4 linked regions of the Yarrowia lipolytica genome follow. The protein of the gene in region 1 interacts with the protein of each later gene in a pairwise test. Links are inferred from orthologs where the notes say so. Each region holds a gene or a part of one and is shown in the gene's direction. Other genes may lie near its edges.

What was found.
Region 2: the proteins of YALI1_A03422g (region 1) and YALI1_B26451g interact in binary tests that used the Saccharomyces cerevisiae proteins (3 or more experiments, as listed by UniProt). The link is inferred for Yarrowia lipolytica from reciprocal best matches to the Saccharomyces cerevisiae genes ARC35 and ARC18.
Region 3: the proteins of YALI1_A03422g (region 1) and YALI1_F20712g interact in binary tests that used the Saccharomyces cerevisiae proteins (3 or more experiments, as listed by UniProt). The link is inferred for Yarrowia lipolytica from reciprocal best matches to the Saccharomyces cerevisiae genes ARC35 and ARP2.
Region 4: the proteins of YALI1_A03422g (region 1) and YALI1_D03575g interact in binary tests that used the Saccharomyces cerevisiae proteins (3 or more experiments, as listed by UniProt). The link is inferred for Yarrowia lipolytica from reciprocal best matches to the Saccharomyces cerevisiae genes ARC35 and ARC19.

Annotation. Positions count from the first base shown.
Region 1 is NC_090770.1:340,791-344,525, reverse strand, and holds YALI1_A03422g (uncharacterized protein), read left to right. Parts: upstream 1-2,266; coding exon 2,267-3,235; downstream 3,236-3,735. Other genes in the region: YALI1_A03442g (uncharacterized protein), read right to left, coding at 1-314.
Region 2 is NC_090771.1:2,643,087-2,646,477, forward strand, and holds YALI1_B26451g (uncharacterized protein), read left to right. Parts: upstream 1-1,990; coding exon 1,991-2,518; downstream 2,519-3,391. Other genes in the region: YALI1_B26430g (uncharacterized protein), read right to left, coding at 542-592; YALI1_B26517g (uncharacterized protein), read right to left, coding at 3,045-3,391. UniProt on the Saccharomyces cerevisiae protein: Functions as a component of the Arp2/3 complex which is involved in regulation of actin polymerization and together with an activating nucleation-promoting factor (NPF) mediates the formation of branched actin networks.
Region 3 is NC_090775.1:2,069,345-2,073,316, forward strand, and holds YALI1_F20712g (uncharacterized protein), read left to right. Parts: upstream 1-1,896; coding exon 1,897-3,075; downstream 3,076-3,972. Other genes in the region: YALI1_F20669g (uncharacterized protein), read left to right, coding at 1-750; YALI1_F20742g (uncharacterized protein), read right to left, coding at 3,588-3,972. UniProt on the Saccharomyces cerevisiae protein: Functions as ATP-binding component of the Arp2/3 complex which is involved in regulation of actin polymerization and together with an activating nucleation-promoting factor (NPF) mediates the formation of branched actin networks.
Region 4 is NC_090773.1:356,906-361,997, reverse strand, and holds YALI1_D03575g (uncharacterized protein), read left to right. Parts: upstream 1-2,365; coding exon 2,366-2,367; intron 2,368-3,625; coding exon 3,626-4,123; intron 4,124-4,430; coding exon 4,431-4,440; downstream 4,441-5,092. Other genes in the region: YALI1_D03604g (uncharacterized protein), read right to left, coding at 1-1,512. UniProt on the Saccharomyces cerevisiae protein: Functions as actin-binding component of the Arp2/3 complex which is involved in regulation of actin polymerization and together with an activating nucleation-promoting factor (NPF) mediates the formation of branched actin networks.

The DNA of each region.
Region 1 (3,735 bases):
TTCTTTGTCTCACGAGAGGTTCTCCTGTACCACCCAAGAAGCGTTACAGTAGGAGAAAGGAAGGGGGAAACCCGTTCAGATCGGCTTTGATAAGGGATCTGTATGATCACTTGTCTAGTTTTTCTTCCTCTTTTGCTCTCAATACCTCTTTTATCGACTATTCCCCTCGCCTTAACGAGAACCCTGTCGGCGACTAACTTCAATCCTACCCCACACATCTGCAACAGATGGAACATACAGATGGGGGTTTTGAACATTAATCGACTTTGAACTGGCCATCTGTTGTTGAATGAAGAGGGGACGGTGAGGTGCATGGTCGGTTGCTTATGGTATTCGTACTTGGAAACTACAAGTTCTTGACCTTCCGAGCGTTGCGCCGTTCGCCATTAGTGCAACAGATGCCATTCTACTGCCCGTTCAAAGCTCGATAAAAGCTTTCGAATCCCACCATCCGGTCGACTAAATAGGTTCCACTGCCCCGTATTGCTCCCAGAATCTGCCCTTAGATCGACTATAACTGACTGCTAAACCTACAAGTAGAGCCCCACAGGAGAGTCCGTCCAACATCTCATGTCCTGCCAGACAGGGTGTTGAAACAGACAAGTACAGTATGTACACGTGATTTAAGGGACTGGATAAATTGTTGCAAGGCGTAAAAGCAAGGTGGAGGGGATGACAGATAAAAAAATAAAAAAAAAAAAACAATTAGGACTGATTTTCGAGGGCATCTAAAAAAGGGGCCGAGCAGGGATTTGAACCCTGGACCTCTCACACCCAAAGCGAGAATCATAGCTACTAGACCACACGGCCGAAAATCTTAAAATCACGTGAAAAAATACGGTCAAGAGACTAAAAAAGTGATTTTGAATTTTTCTTTGATTTTGACGCCCTTATCGACATTGTACAAAGTAAATAACATCGGATATTTATTCTCAAAGACCAAAAGTATCCCCTAGTAGCTTTTTACTCGAGTAGAACCGATATTAAGTTAATAATTTTGGTGTCGAAGTTGCATCTTTACGTTGAATTTTGGTATGGTAATAACATGCTGTAATGCATCATTAGAATAATAAAAAAAGTGGTTATTGTCATGATATTGAGTCAAATGAATAAAAATTGTTCTATTGAATGAACTTGCAGAGCCAGTGGCAAAAAAACTACATTTAAATCGGATCCATGGTGCAATTGGAGGTGTCTGTAAGTGGTCTTGTACGAACTGTGAACTGTACTTGCTACATACTGCACTAGTATGTACTGCAAACCGGAGTGATATTGTGAAACCAGAGCAATGACGGAGTGAAACAATTGAATCTGGTCCCCCAATTGGGCATTCTATGTCCGTGTTTTCAGGTTAAAACGTCTGGGATCATGTTCGTAGTCCTCCGAGTCCAAGCTCAGAACCATGATCTGATTAGAATCAGAGCTAAGAGGAACGTAACACTTTAGATGGTTAGTCTCTGAGACAGATGAACTGGGAGGTACTGTACTGAATGGATAGAGACTTGTTCGCGTTCAGTGCGAGTACAGTGTACGAAGGTCTGGCTAGAGACTGTGAAGAACAGCACGGGTCATACTGTAGTGAAGCATCGTAAAGGTGCTCCAGCCGTGAAAGACTTCGATATAGGGTGGAATACTTTGACAGAGTGGAATACTTCAATATAGGGGGAATATCAGTGATGTGAGACATCCCATTATACATGTTCCCGTGTCACTCGTGATAGAGTTCAAGTAAAATGTCAAGCATACTCCCAAGTAAACTGTTCCTAACAATGGATTATCAAGGTCGGGGTTTCACCTCCGTGTCCAATTGGGACCCCATCTATCCATCGGCGTCTCCAGCATATGTCACCAATTACCTTCACCGCTGTAATTGACTACTCCGGCTACAATTACTCGTACTTGCACAGTACTCGCACAAGTATCAACTCCTACATCCGCAACCCAGAGGGCTTATCTCCGAGTGAGTGCATAAACAGTGGTGTGAAGGTCATCTAGCGAGTCTGCAACTGCGGCAAATAATAACACTGGGGGAAGATTTTGGGTGACACGTGATCAATCACAAGCTCGAGGAATATAATTGTCATTTTCTCCGTATATAATCTGCTCTTGGTGCCACCAGTTTTCGCGCGGTTCGTCCCCAGCTTCCCATTAGAGTTCTGACTAACCAACGATATTAACGCAGTGGTACAGCACACATCTCCACGTTGACTATACACCCACTGCGAGACCCAGCACTCCCACACAGCACTCCACAAGACCCGCCAACATGCTTATGCTCCAGTACCAAAACCTGCTGCTGCAATCGGTGCTCAGCGAGCGTCTGGACCCCGAAACCCCGCCATTGGGCATCGATCAGGTGGTGTCGGACTTCGACAATGTCACCTTCCACATCTCCAACCCGGACCCCAAGGACAAGACGGTCATCATGGTGTCCATGTACATCAAGTGTTTCCAGGATCTGGTCAAGTGCGGCGCCAAGAAGATTCTGGAGCGGGAGTATGGCCCCTACCTGACCGAGCCCGAGCCTGGATACGACGTTTCGCTGCTGCTCAACCTCACAGACGGCTCCATCCCCTCGGACCCCGAGCAGCGAGACGAGCTTGTCAACAAGATTGCACTGCTCAAGAGAAACACGTTTGCTGCTCCATTCGAAAAGGCCTTTGACAAGTTCGACCAGCTGGCCGAGGAGGCTGCTGCCGAGGGCAAGGACCTGTACGCCCCCCAAAAGTCCGATAACGAGGTCATGGCGATCCACTACCGAGACGAGGAGTCCATCTACGTGCGACCGAGCTACGACCGAGTCACCGTCATCTTCTCCACCATCTTCAAGGACGAGACTGACCGAATCTTTGGAAAGGTGTTCCTGCAGGAATTCGTTGACGCTCGACGAAGAGCCATCCAAAACGCCCCCCAGGTGCTGTACACGCAAAAGGAGCCGCCGCTGGAGATCAGAGACGTTGTCAAGCCCTCTTCTAACGCCGACAACATGGGATACGTCACCTTTGTGCTTTTCCCCCGACATCTTGTGGCCTCTCGACGAGAGAACTGTATCTCGCACATCCAAATCTTCCGAGACTACTTCCACTACCATATCAAGTGTTCCAAGGCCTATATGCACTCGCGAATGCGATTCCGAGTGAGCGAGTTCCTCAAGGTGCTGAACCGAGCAAAGCAGGAGAATGTGGTCAAGGAGAAGAAGACCGCCAGTGGAAGAACCTTCAAGCATCCCAACTAGGTGGCCAGTAACTTGACGTAGCGTGCTGCTGATTGACTTCTCTTCATCTAACGGTCGGAACTAGCTATGCATCGGTATGTCTCCATGTACCATTGTAATGAATATGATATGAATAACAACTGACTGTAGTGAAGGTGTATGGAAGGCATTATCGAGATAGATTGGCGTGGGTACTGGTACGGTAACCACTCTGAAGAGTTTGATTGTTACGTGTATTTTAAATCAATATGACCAGGCTCGATGACTTTGTAGATGAGCAGGCCATTTTCCCGTCCTGACCAGGATAACCACGTTCATGATCCCAGATAGCAAGTGTTCGGGAGAATAATCCGGAACATGACATTGTCACAGGATAAGCGACTTCAACTGTGCAACTACTCAATAATAGCACCTTTTTACGACTCTGCTTCCAGTAAGTCCCTCACTGGAACCTCCTCTACATCCCATTATTTACAGAATCACCGCATCCCGAAAACCATCACATACACAGCTCACGACGT
Region 2 (3,391 bases), on another chromosome or scaffold:
GCAACAGGTGTGAGGGTCCGAAAGTCGAGGGCGGACAACGAGATGTAGCTAGTGGAGCAGAAGAATGGGCTGTGATAATTTGTATATGGCGATTCTTAGAGTCGATGTAGGTTTGATTTGCCCTAAGTGTGTCGTCATGTATGCTCTACACCACGTCGTGATGTGTCGTGCGATGCGTTGGTACGCCTTGGTTCCCCTCAAACCACGTCAAACAGTGTCGCTAAAATGTCGCCATAGGAACAGTACAGTCGTGAACATTCACCAAATGAAATTACTGCACATTCCACAGCAATCTCATCTGAATATATCCTTCACGTCACCCTTAAACCATCCGCTCATCTGTGTAACTGCGCGGTACGATAGGAACACCGCTTGTACTGTTGGGATATGAGCCATGTCGATGCTTCTAATTCTAGGTCTCTTCTTCTGCCTGTCTGTGTCTCGCTTGCCACTGGTTCTGTGTTCACATCAGTCTCCTTTCTGTCCATATCACCCATTGCCTGTGTCTATCAGGGTTTCTCCTCATGTCTCATCTACTCACCTGCATCGACGGAATATCGGTAAAAGGAATATCCAACACGTCCTGCGCCATTTGAGCTGCCCTGGGTCGAGTGTGACTAGTTGTGTGTCTCTTGGGGCGTTGTGTCGTGCAAACAACAACTGGTGTAGAGATTGGCGGGCTCTGAAAAAGTGTAGTACTGTACCCTAAGACGCACGAGGCTGTGTTTGTGTGGTGCCAACTTTAGGTTGCTTAGTCACCTGCGGTATTAGTGTGGGGGGAATAAATGGAGCGCTATGAGGGAGACGCATGCAACTTGACCCGGTCGGTACGGTCTATATTACTTGCTACAATGTGGTGAACCGGTGGTCTTTTTTCTCGTGAAAATCTGTCTTTTTTTTCGGCATTTATAGGACTGCCGAAAACGTCAGAAAATAGGGTTGGGGAAGACTGTACAAGAGCAGACCTTTGTATGAGTACTCGAGATACTTTTTTGGAGAGATGATGAAGAAGTCCAAACACCTCCAGTGTGTCATAATAGCCTGTGATGAACTATTTGCTGGCTTTTACTGTCACCTTTCTACCCAAAAGTACCCCTCTCTGACCCACCATTGTCGGTCATATTCACTATGTCCGTCGTATGCAGTCCATCACTTAACCTCATTTGTCCTTAATAAGCACAGGGGTACAGTAGTCCAAAAAGCAATAAACACGGAAGACTCAAGACCGTCAGCCGATGGTCCTGTAGCAGTTGAGCAAGGGAGTGGCTGGAAGCCGAAAATAGTGCCTTGTGTAGCCACAAGTAGATAACAATTCCTTTCAACTTCAAGCACGATAACCACTCAATTGTTAACTCAATAACTGTTCGCTCGCACTTGCCACACAGCTTGCTTGTACCTACGATAGGTGCAACTGTATTGTAGGCATGTGTCCTACAGAATGATCCTCGTCCCCTCCCCGATTATAGCCATTACGGTATTGACATTGAGACACTTACTACTGTAATACGAACATCGGCTACTTGTACTTGTACCAGGGTGTGATAATGAACTCTCTTAACTCCGGTTCCCCGCAAGTCAACCCGGCTGGCACTACAGTCGGTCACACCTTTATCTGACACAGTAGCTACGGTACAGTAAATCTGAAGTTCAATCAACTGAGGGAGTGATTTGAGAAAACAAACTCAAGTGCCATCCAAGTAAAATCCAAGTATGTTACTGAAGCAACCCGCACCCCCTTCCTCCGAATGTTCGCTTCGTAATCAGCGGAATTCATGGTCGAAACATTTCCAATTCACTCAATTGAATCGGCTTATGACATTCCATCAATCCACCTACCTCCGGTCACCAAAATCTCACCTCCCACCATTCCTTGCAATTTCACCTCTAACTGCGCCATTATTAGAGTTCACCAGCTATCTCCACCTCATCACACCCAAACCTGTCATTACCAACGCATCACCAACGTTAACACATCCAACCAGACACAAAAATGCCAGCTCTGAACAGTACATTTCTCGGCGAGGACCAGGACACCCGGGTAGTGGGCAATTTCGCTATCCTCCCCATCAAAACGTCATTCCGAGGCCCCAGTTACCCCAGCAACGCCGACTACGACATCATCGACGAGGTGCTGGATCTGTTCCGAGCAAACTCATTCTTTAAGAACTTTGAGATCAAGGGCCCTGCCGACCGGGCTCTCATTTACGGCATTCTCTTTGTGTCCGAGTGTCTGGGAAAGCTCAAGCCTACCACTTCTGCCAACGAGGCCAACAAGTTGCTGAACACTGCTGCTGTGGAACACTTTTCCATTCCCGGAGACGCCGGCTTCCCACTGAACTCTCTCTACGCCCCTCCCCGAGACCGAAATGAGGTCGAACTGCTGCGAGGCTACCTGATGCAATTCAGACAGGAGCTGGCAAAGCGTCTGATTGAGAAGATCTACAAGGACGACCCTTCCAAGCCCAACAAGTACTGGTTGGCTTTCACCAGAAGGCATTTTATGAACAAGAGTTTGTAAGCGAATGAATTACTAGGCACAGCCGGGTAATGTATGAGCGGTGAACAAACACAAGCAACTCCGGTGATGAATCTCCACCAAACAGCTGAAGGAAGAGGTGCATCAGAGCACAAACTAAAGCCCTGGATACACAATGTAACTAATGAATGATATGATAAGGTAACTTTGTAGGAGCTGGTCGTATGGATGAACTGTATGTATGTATAATAATGTATTGTCACTGTGTATCAGTATGTACATTGTACTCGTACTTTTTCGTACTTTTACGTACTCGTACTGTGTGCTTGTACTTGTATTGATCCAGTCTATACAGTCTATTTGTTTTATCTTTCTCACACTTTGAATATGACAAGTGGCGATAGACTACAACATACAGTAGGGATGTTGCCATAGGCACCCGTGCTAATTGCAAGTAGTCATTGTCAAGCGCCTACACTCAACTCAATTAAATCTTCATATAATACATATAAATAAACACGCTTTATCCATGCTATCCTTCCGTCCTTCGTGTCCTCCTCTCCCCTCTCTACTGCCAATAAGGTGGATAAGGTCCTGGGGGTGACTGCTGTCGTGGAGGATACATGCCTGGAGGAGCTCCGGGAGTGCCGGGAGCGCCGGGCGCGCCGGGAGCACCCGAAGGAGGACCCGCCATGGCATTGAGAGGCGGCAGGGTGATTCCTCCAGGACGTCCTCCACTCGGCTTTGAATCGCCATTGAGAATCGACGTGATCGACGACGTCTTCGAAGGCCGCTGCAGAATCGGCAAGGGCGGCAGTGTCTGCCGAGGCCCGTGGGGTGTGTGAGCGTTGATGGGCGGCAGAGAAAACCCAGTGGGAGAGCTCTGCTGTGGCGGAGGCGTGTGCGACAGCGGAG
Region 3 (3,972 bases), on another chromosome or scaffold:
GGCGATGGTCAATACAAGCCCCGTGAGCTGACCGAGAGCGAGGAGAAGCGACGAGAGGAGATGAGTGTTCGAATTGTGTCATCTCTGGAGTGGGAGCGGTACCTCAAGTCCGCGTCTTCGTTTATTGTCGACGAATTTCAGGGCCAGTACCAATCAAAGCTCCAGTGTACTGTGTGCAAAATGACGTCGACGACATACACTGCATTCTCGTCGCTAACTCTGCCCATCCCCAAGTACGCTGGGGCCACTCTCCCAACGCTGTACGACTGCTTCAACCAGTTTACGCAGCCGGAGTTGCTGGAGGGCGAAAACATGTGGCAGTGCCCTACGTGCAAGAAGCCGCGGCCCACTATCAAGTCTATGAAGATCTCGCGGCTTCCAGAAACTTTGATCATCCATCTCAAGCGGTTCGACCACTCACGGGGCTATGGAGACAAGCTCAACACGTTTGTTACGTACCCTCTGGAGATGGATCTCACGCGGTATTGGCCTCCGCCCACATCGGAGGACGAGCCCTTCTTGAAGAAGCTGCTTCCTCGTGGCCAGACGGCTCCTTTCCGGTACTCACTGTTTGGAGTGGCCAACCATTACGGAACGCTGCGCGGGGGTCATTACACGTCGTTCTGCAAGCGTGGCAAGCTCGGATGGTGCTACTTTGACGATACGGTGGTGAACAGAAACGTGAACGAGCGAGCCGTTGTTAACAAGAATGCGTATGTGTTGTTCTACCAGCGCCGGCACAATCCTTAGACTTCTCAGAGACACGGTAGGCGATATACAATGAGGGGACGAAAAGCATCTTGAAAAATATGCATATAGCTATTTATATAACGAATTATGATTGCATGATAACATGGCTTTGGTGGAGGGCAGGTGTGTACATCACACTGGTTGTTGTAAGTTTAGTTATGTACTTGATGGTTGATTACGCCTATGACTGTCTCACCTCTATAGTTCGGAGATACGGAGTCTTGGAAGTGATGTTTTCAACAAGGTCTGACTATTGATTGATTATTACGTGCCAGGTACTAAAAGAAAACGTGAGCAATTCTTGGCATTTTTCTATTAGTAATATTTTTCCATTAGTAATAATAAATATCAAGCGATCAACCAAAGTATTTTGGTCGTTTTGTTTCAGATAAGTGTTGATGTAGCACTGCAACAAGCTACAACCATGAGTGAACAGTATGTACTGGATGTAAGAGTATTAGTATGAGTACATTGTATATGGATGGTGGGGTGAAGAGGAGATTGTTTTATTAGCACAACCCTTAAGCGTACAGTATCCGCGTTCCCCGACTGGGGGCCGTAGCTATTACTATTTTTTTTTTTTGTTTTTTATTTTTTTTTTTATTTTTATTATTTTTATTATTATTTATATTATTTATTATTATTATTTTATTATTATTATTATTTTTTTTATTATTTTTTATTATTTTTTATTATTTTTTTATTATTTTTTATTATTTTTTATGCTTCTTTTTTTTTTCTCTTTTTCTGCTTCTTTTTCTGCTCTTTTTTACCCTTTTTCAGCTGTTTTTCTGCCCTTTTTTACTCTATTTGAACATCTCCGACATTTCGCGGCCTGGAAATAAAGTTGTCCAGGCTGGCTAGATGGAGATAGCAATTCGGAGGTGGGATGGGAGGTGAGCTGGAGCTCGGTGTTGAGATAAGAAAGTGTATAGAAGGGCGTGTTTGAGACGCAATTAGTAAGAGAGAGACCCAATTGAGCTATTTGGGGTGTACTGGTCGCATTGTCACATCCATCTGGCCATGTCAGCCTACAAAACAACGGTTTTTTGCAGGCTCGTCGAGGGTGGCTGACTAATAAACTCCCGCATACAGCGCTCTCGACAGTGCATGACATCCACCCTCCATCCACACCACTGAGCGAATATGAGCGAACAACCAATTGTGCTAGATCAAGGAACCGGCTTTGTGAAAATCGGCTACGGAGGCACCAACTTCCCCGAACACACCTTCCCGTCGATGGTGGGTCGGCCCATTCTGCGGGCTGAAGAGCGGGCCACAGACACATACGGCGACGTGGCCATCAAGGACATTATGTGTGGAGACGAGGCTGCCGCGGCACGAAACATGCTGCAGATCTCGTACCCGATGGAGAACGGAGTGATTCGAAACTGGGAAGACATGGGTCACCTGTGGAACCACTCGTTTTACGACAAGATGAAGATTGACACCCGGGGTCGAAAGGTGCTGCTCACAGAGCCTCCCATGAACCCCCTCAAGAACCGGGAAAAGATGTGCGAGATCATGTTTGAGCACTACGGCTTCAATGGCGTTTATGTAGCCATCCAGGCCGTCCTGGCTCTGTACGCACAGGGCCTGTCGTCAGGAGTGGTGGTGGACTCTGGAGACGGTGTTACCCACGTGGTGCCTGTCTACGAGTCTGTGGTGCTCAACCACCTGACCCGTCGTCTGGACGTCGCTGGTCGAGATGTCACCCGACAGCTGATTGCTCTGCTACTGCGACGAGGATACGCCTTCAACCGAACTGCCGACTTCGAGACCGTGCGACAGATCAAGGAGAAGTTCTGCTACGTCTCCTACGACCTGGACCTCGACACAAAGCTCGCCAACGAAACCACTGCTCTGGTCGACACCTACGAACTTCCTGACGGCCGAACCATCAAGCTGGGATCAGAGCGATTCGAGGCCCCCGAGTGTCTGTTCCAGCCCCATCTGGTCGACTCGGAACAGCCTGGAATCGCCGAGACGCTGTTCAACACTATCCAGGCCGCCGACATTGATGTGCGATCGTCGCTGTACAAAGCCATTGTGTTGTCTGGAGGTTCGTCCATGTATCCCGGTCTGCCATCCCGAATGGAGAAGGAGCTCAAGCAGCTGTGGCTCACCCGGGTGCTTAACGGCGACCCCACCCGACTCAACAACTTCAAGGTCAAAATTGAGGACCCCCCTCGACGACGACATATGGTCTTCCTGGGAGGTGCCGTGCTTGCTAACATTATGCATGACAAGGAGCACATGTGGATCTCCAAACAAGAGTGGGAGGAGCAGGGCCCCGCATGCCTGGCCAAGCTTGGTCCCAGATAAGCGGCAACTCCAGCTACAACCCTGCATTGACAGTATCAACCTAACACTGTCGATGAAGGAACTATGTATGTTATATGATGAAACGATTGACGAACTGTACTAGCTGTGTAGCAGCGAGTGCAGTGGATGTAGCAGCAGAGCTACAGAGCGCCCAACTTGCCGCGAGTCTTATTGTACGATTAGTGTAGGCTGTCAGATGGGCATTTGCAAGTATTAACTGTTATCTGTGGATATATTGTTGATTGTCAGTGCACTGTATGCCATGTCAAATTGCTAATTAATCATTTGTGCGTGATCAACTGACCCTTCACCTTCACAGATCACATCGTCACTTCTCTCGTCTTCATTCCAAATGGGATGCAGAGTTATGACGCTGCTTCCAACTATTCAGTGGACCGCAATACTCCACCACTCGTAGCTATTTCTCAGTTCCGCACTTGTCCATCCTTCTCTACTCAACTCATAAAATCGTATTATCTATTCATTAATCATTATATCGCCTTTGGCAAGGACTAGGCCCACTTTCCGATGAGGGACATACAAATCATGCCTCCAACCAGACCCGACATTGCGAAAAAGACTCGCTTTTTGGGTGCAAAAGAAAGATCTCCAAACAGCCAGTCGAACGCCAACATCTCCACAACTCCAGCCCAAATGAGCACGCCAGCAGACAGAGCCGAGATGGTTCCAATGGCCCAAATGGTGGCAGGGTCGTTGGAGTTCATGGAGTCCATGACACCGAGACCAATAGCCATGCCGATGGGAGTGATGATGGTGAAATAGGTGCACATGCTCATTTTGAAGAACAGAGACGAGTCACGAAGTCCGGCGATTCGAGACCCAAGGCCGATACCTTCGAACGCCTGGTGGAACAGAATGGCGATGAACAGAGAAATG
Region 4 (5,092 bases), on another chromosome or scaffold:
CACTCTTCTTACCGCATCCCACGTGTCCGACACCTGGATGACCGGCTCCATGTCTCTCAGGGCGTACCGGAAGTCGTCCTGAAGTCGTCGCAGCTTTCGATCTGAAGCAAACCGGTCGATTTCGAAATCCGAGTCCTTGAGAGCATTGTAGACCTGCTGGGTGTACCGAGGATGTTCGAGATTGGTGGTGTAGTCCGAGCACGCTGCGATCAGGTGGCCAAATTCGTCGAGGGTCAGGCTGTCGATATTTTTGCCCTCGCTTGTCAGATATCCCTGGGCGATGGTCCTCAGGTTTCGGACCCGTCTGTTTTCGACCTCAATCACGTCCCAGAAGAGGTCCAGCGGTGTGGATGAGTGTCTGATTCCACACAGGTTCTGGAATCGCACATCGTCCTTGATGTAGTCCACCAGCTCCTTCCATTTGGTGGTGTAGACGATATGGCCCTTGTCGACCTGTTCGGAGAGCAGTTTGACAAACTGTTGGCGGGCTATTCTGGCCTGTCTGGCAGCGACGGCGGATTTCTGTTCAATCTGTTCCACCAACTCGGCTTCCTTCTCTTCGATTGTCTTTGAATAGACGTCCAGCAAGTCCATCTTGTTGAGCAGTCGCATTTCCGGCCTCTCGGCAGCAAGTTCCGCCGATCTCGACTTGATATCTCTCAGGGTATCGTTCCAGGTAGATTTGACAATGTCGATTTGCAGCACGGACTTGAGAAATTGTTTTCCGGCGGCCTTGATCTCGGCGGTTTTTTTCTGCTCCTGTTCGTTCAAAAAACGGACATATTTTGCGAGCGCCAGTTTACGGTCGTCCACGTGACCTGTGTGGAACAGTGGGTCGTCGCGGAACTCTTCTTCCACGCTGATCCAGCGAGAATACGGCCCAATCTTGTTGGACTGTTCAAACAAATCATAGACTCTCTGCTGGTACTCCAGGCGTTTATCCAACGTCTCCTGGACCTCCTTCTGCTCAATCTCGGTCAGAAACTCCTCAAACAGTTCCCGCCGTCTCAGAGCGTCTCGCACAGCCCAGTATCGGGGGTCTTCAAGACACTCTTTCATCAGCTTCTGAACCGTCCAGCTACTGTCGACCTCCTTGTCGGCCATCAGCTGTTTGTAAGACGCCTCAATCTCCTCGGAACTGCCTCCCTTGAACTGCTGCTGCACATTATCCGGCGCAATCGAGCTCAGAGACGGTAAATGTTCCTCTCGTTTTTCTCGACCACGCTGTTCTCGCACCTCTCGGGGTTCTTTGGGAATCGACTCATCGGCCGCCGCTTCTCCCTGAAGAATCGCTTCGGCATCTGCGGGAAACACCCACACACTTTCCTTGGACTCGGTGTTGAACCAGTATTTGCGGCCTCCCTCGGCGGTGTATTCCTTCCAGTTTGTGCGTTTGAGGGCGATTTCGCGCTCCGTGAAGAGCTCCTCGGGCTTGTCCCACGTCGAGTTTTGCGTTTCCGGGTCGAAGTAGTACGTTCGTCCGTCCTCCGCCTTGTGTTCTTGCCAGGTCATTTTGTGGTGATGGAGCTGGGTGATGTTGGATATTAGGAGGGTGAGTAGATAGAGTTGAACTTTAATGAGAAAACCAATTAGTTGATAAATGGAAAATGATAAAGAAAATTGTAAGTAGTTGGAGGAATGAAGAAGAAGAATTGAAAAATGGATAAAAAATTGTTTGGTTGAATTAAAATTGAATTAAAATTAAATTAAAAGGAAATTGAAAAATAATTGAATTAAAATCAAAATTCGTTTATATAAAGAAAAGAGAAAATAATCAAAATATGTCACGTGATAACATAAGTAGTCACTCTACCAATGTTCTCAACCAAAACTCCAGCATCTGGAAGGTTCTCTGTTTACCCATCTAAGTCAACTAAATTAAAAAAAATAAAAAAATTACGGATTAAATCCCCAACTAAATTATTCCATTGAAAACTAAAAATATATAGATTAAAAATGCTATTTATAAATATATATAGATATTTTTTTTTCAAAAAAACAAAACTGTGAGACGATAGATGGTATTAAGACCTCAAAAAAATTGACAAAAAAAAACAAATGTGTCATCATCTTGGTATGAAAGCCCATGAAGGGGGGAATCCATTAATTCTCTCCATTTCAATATATCTCAAATATCCATCAAGATATACCTCAATATACTCCTTTTTTTATCTAATTGAATTTTTAAAACGGATTTATTTCCTGTAATATTCCTTACTCACACCGACTCCGCTCCCAAATATTCCTCGAAAATGCCACCCCAAAATCCAGGGTTAGGGTTCCCAATCACCACCTAATAATACTCTGGAGATGCATACGGTACCTCTACATACGCACGACTAATAGCGCAACCGACCCGACCGAGATGGTGAGTATAGCGAAAGGGGGCGAAAAGGGCGATTTTCGATGCGCAAAATACGACAAAATGAGTGTTAGGGTCATTGATTGTTTAGGGTATGGAGCCGGGGGATTTGAGGGGATGGAGCCGGGGGATTTGAGGAGGGACCAGAGGCTCATGGGTTCTATGTCCTTTGCCGAGCTACGGGGGTTTTTGATGAGCGCATTTATGTCATTTTGTGGCGAGCGGATCTGTGTCTGTTGGGTCTCTGATGACGTGGCGAGTTCCGATTGACTGATGGCTCCAGATGAGTTGTTTTGATCCATCTTGTTGGTGAGATTGAGTGTGTTGTGCGCCATAATTCAGTGGGTCAATGAGTCGACTATAGTTAATGAGCCGGATGGGATGTGGTGGTTCAGTCATCGCTGTTGGTTCATTCTGATGATTGTCTAGTTCTGTCGACAGTGGAGTTCAAGTGGCCACTACGTTGAACATGTCTTTCACTACATATACCAGCAACATGTCCTTTTGCGGGCTCCAGTTGACTATGACGAGTTCTGGCTACTTCGAGTGACTCTACGGTGCTTCTGTGCTTAGAGTGTCTGTCTTGAGATATGACACTGCGACCGCCATTGCGACAACGACAACGACAACGACAGCTACGGCAATTACGACACAGAGCGCTTCCTGATGATACCCTGACTATGCCGTTGACGGTCACCTCCTCCCCCTCCCTCACTTTCCCCACCGACCACTTGCACCGATCTGCACTCTACCAGTGCGCGCGATACTCAGGTGTGTCCGCTAGCGTCGTTCTGATCGCTCTACTGTCACTTGCTCATAGTTGGCTGGCTCTGAGTCGTCAGAGATGATGACTCCTTCAATGACCCAGTGGTGACTGTTTCAATACCTCCTATGACTCCTCCGATGACTACTCCGATGACTCCTCCAGTCACCCTTAATGACGTCCGGTGACCCTAAAAGACTATGACTGCCACTGTTGAGTTCTACCCTGTTGACTTCTACCGTCGACATCTCTGAACTCGTCAGCGCCGGTGTCTGTCGATGTGTTCATCTGCCAAGTTGGCCCCTGTGGTGGACCTAGTCATCACCTTGCAGCTCTCCCGGCTCTCCGCCTCTCCCGGTGTAACATGATTGTTGGGATCCTACATCGAGTGTCATAGTTCGCATCTAAACTCCGTTGAAGACACCTTGAAACAGGTCACCTCACTCAGCGACTTTTTTTTTGAATCGCTCTACGCATCTATTGTGACATGCGCTAACCCAGTCCCAATCCCTCCGACCCTACCTTCTTGCCGTACGTACCTCTCTCACAGCAGCCCTCTGTCTGGAAGACTTTGGCTCGCAGGTGGCAGAGCGACACAATGTGCCCGAGGTGGAGTCCGGCAAGTCAGCTGAGGCGCTGCTCAACCCTATGACCATTGCGCGAAACGAAAACGAAATGGTGCTGATCGAGCCATCCATCAACTCGGTGCGAGTGTCGATTCGAATCAAGCAGGCGGACGAGATTGAACGGATTCTCGTGCACCAGTTCACGCGGTTCCTGACCGGCCGAGCCGAGTCTTTCTACATTCTGCGACGAAAACCCGTGCCTGGATACAGCATTTCGTTCCTCATCACAAACTTCCACACCGAGACCATGCTCAAGCACAAGCTGGTGGACTTTATCATTGAGTTTATGGAGGTGGTCGACAAGGAGATCAGTGAGATGAAGCTGGTGCTCAATGCCAGAGCGCGATTTATCGCAGAGAGTTATTTGGTTGCGGTGAGTACAGATCAACTAGTGAGCGTAGCGAGCTACTTGTAAATGACCAGATCATGAGCGCAACGAATGATCAAGAGTTCAAAACACGAGTGATATTTGATCATTGTGAGAACTCTGACAGTGGGACTATCATTTTCGAGTTACTCGTTGATGGTAGTCTGACAGTTTGAGTTTCAGCAATGTGGTTGGAGATGTATGATCTGAGTGTCTGAGGAGCAGGACTGTTCAGAACTGCTTACCACATCTTCACATTCCGCTATGCTCAATGACCTCACAATGACCTTCCCTTCTCTCTTTACTAACACAGTTCGACTAACCTGTACTCACCTGTACTGTAACTATATAGCGTAACGATGTTTAATGAAAAGTCCGAGCCGTACTTTTAATGGCCAGGTATCATGTCTCCGATATGGTTACAAGTACAAGTACTGCAATATCACTCATGGCCATTAAAAAGACAGATGAGAGTCATAATGGTGAAAAGAGCGCTCCATGCATTCTCTGCTTAATCAGAATAGTGCTTATTTTGCTTAGTCATTCTGCTTCTTCCTGAACACAATGGGACAACTCTTGTTTGGTTTAAAAAAGCACTCCCCCTTGAGATATTCACAAACATTTCCATTTTCAGATCCACCACAATATGCAGTAGTCATCTTTAGTCAGCACCATTAATTCCTGTAATACTCAGACTAGTCCGGACACGTCTTATCCACTCCGTTTCAACTGCGTTTCTGAGTCAATTATACGAGCAGATACAGTTTGGACTAGCTAAATATTAAAGTAATAATATTATATTTTTAAAGAGAGAATAATAAAAAAAAAATAAACAAATAAACAAAAAATAAACAAATAAATAAACAAATAAACAAATAAATAAATAAACAAATAAACACATATTTGCAAATAAAAACCACCAAAAATCTTAGTAATATTGTTCTCCGTTCTCTCGACGCACCGATTTCCTCAAT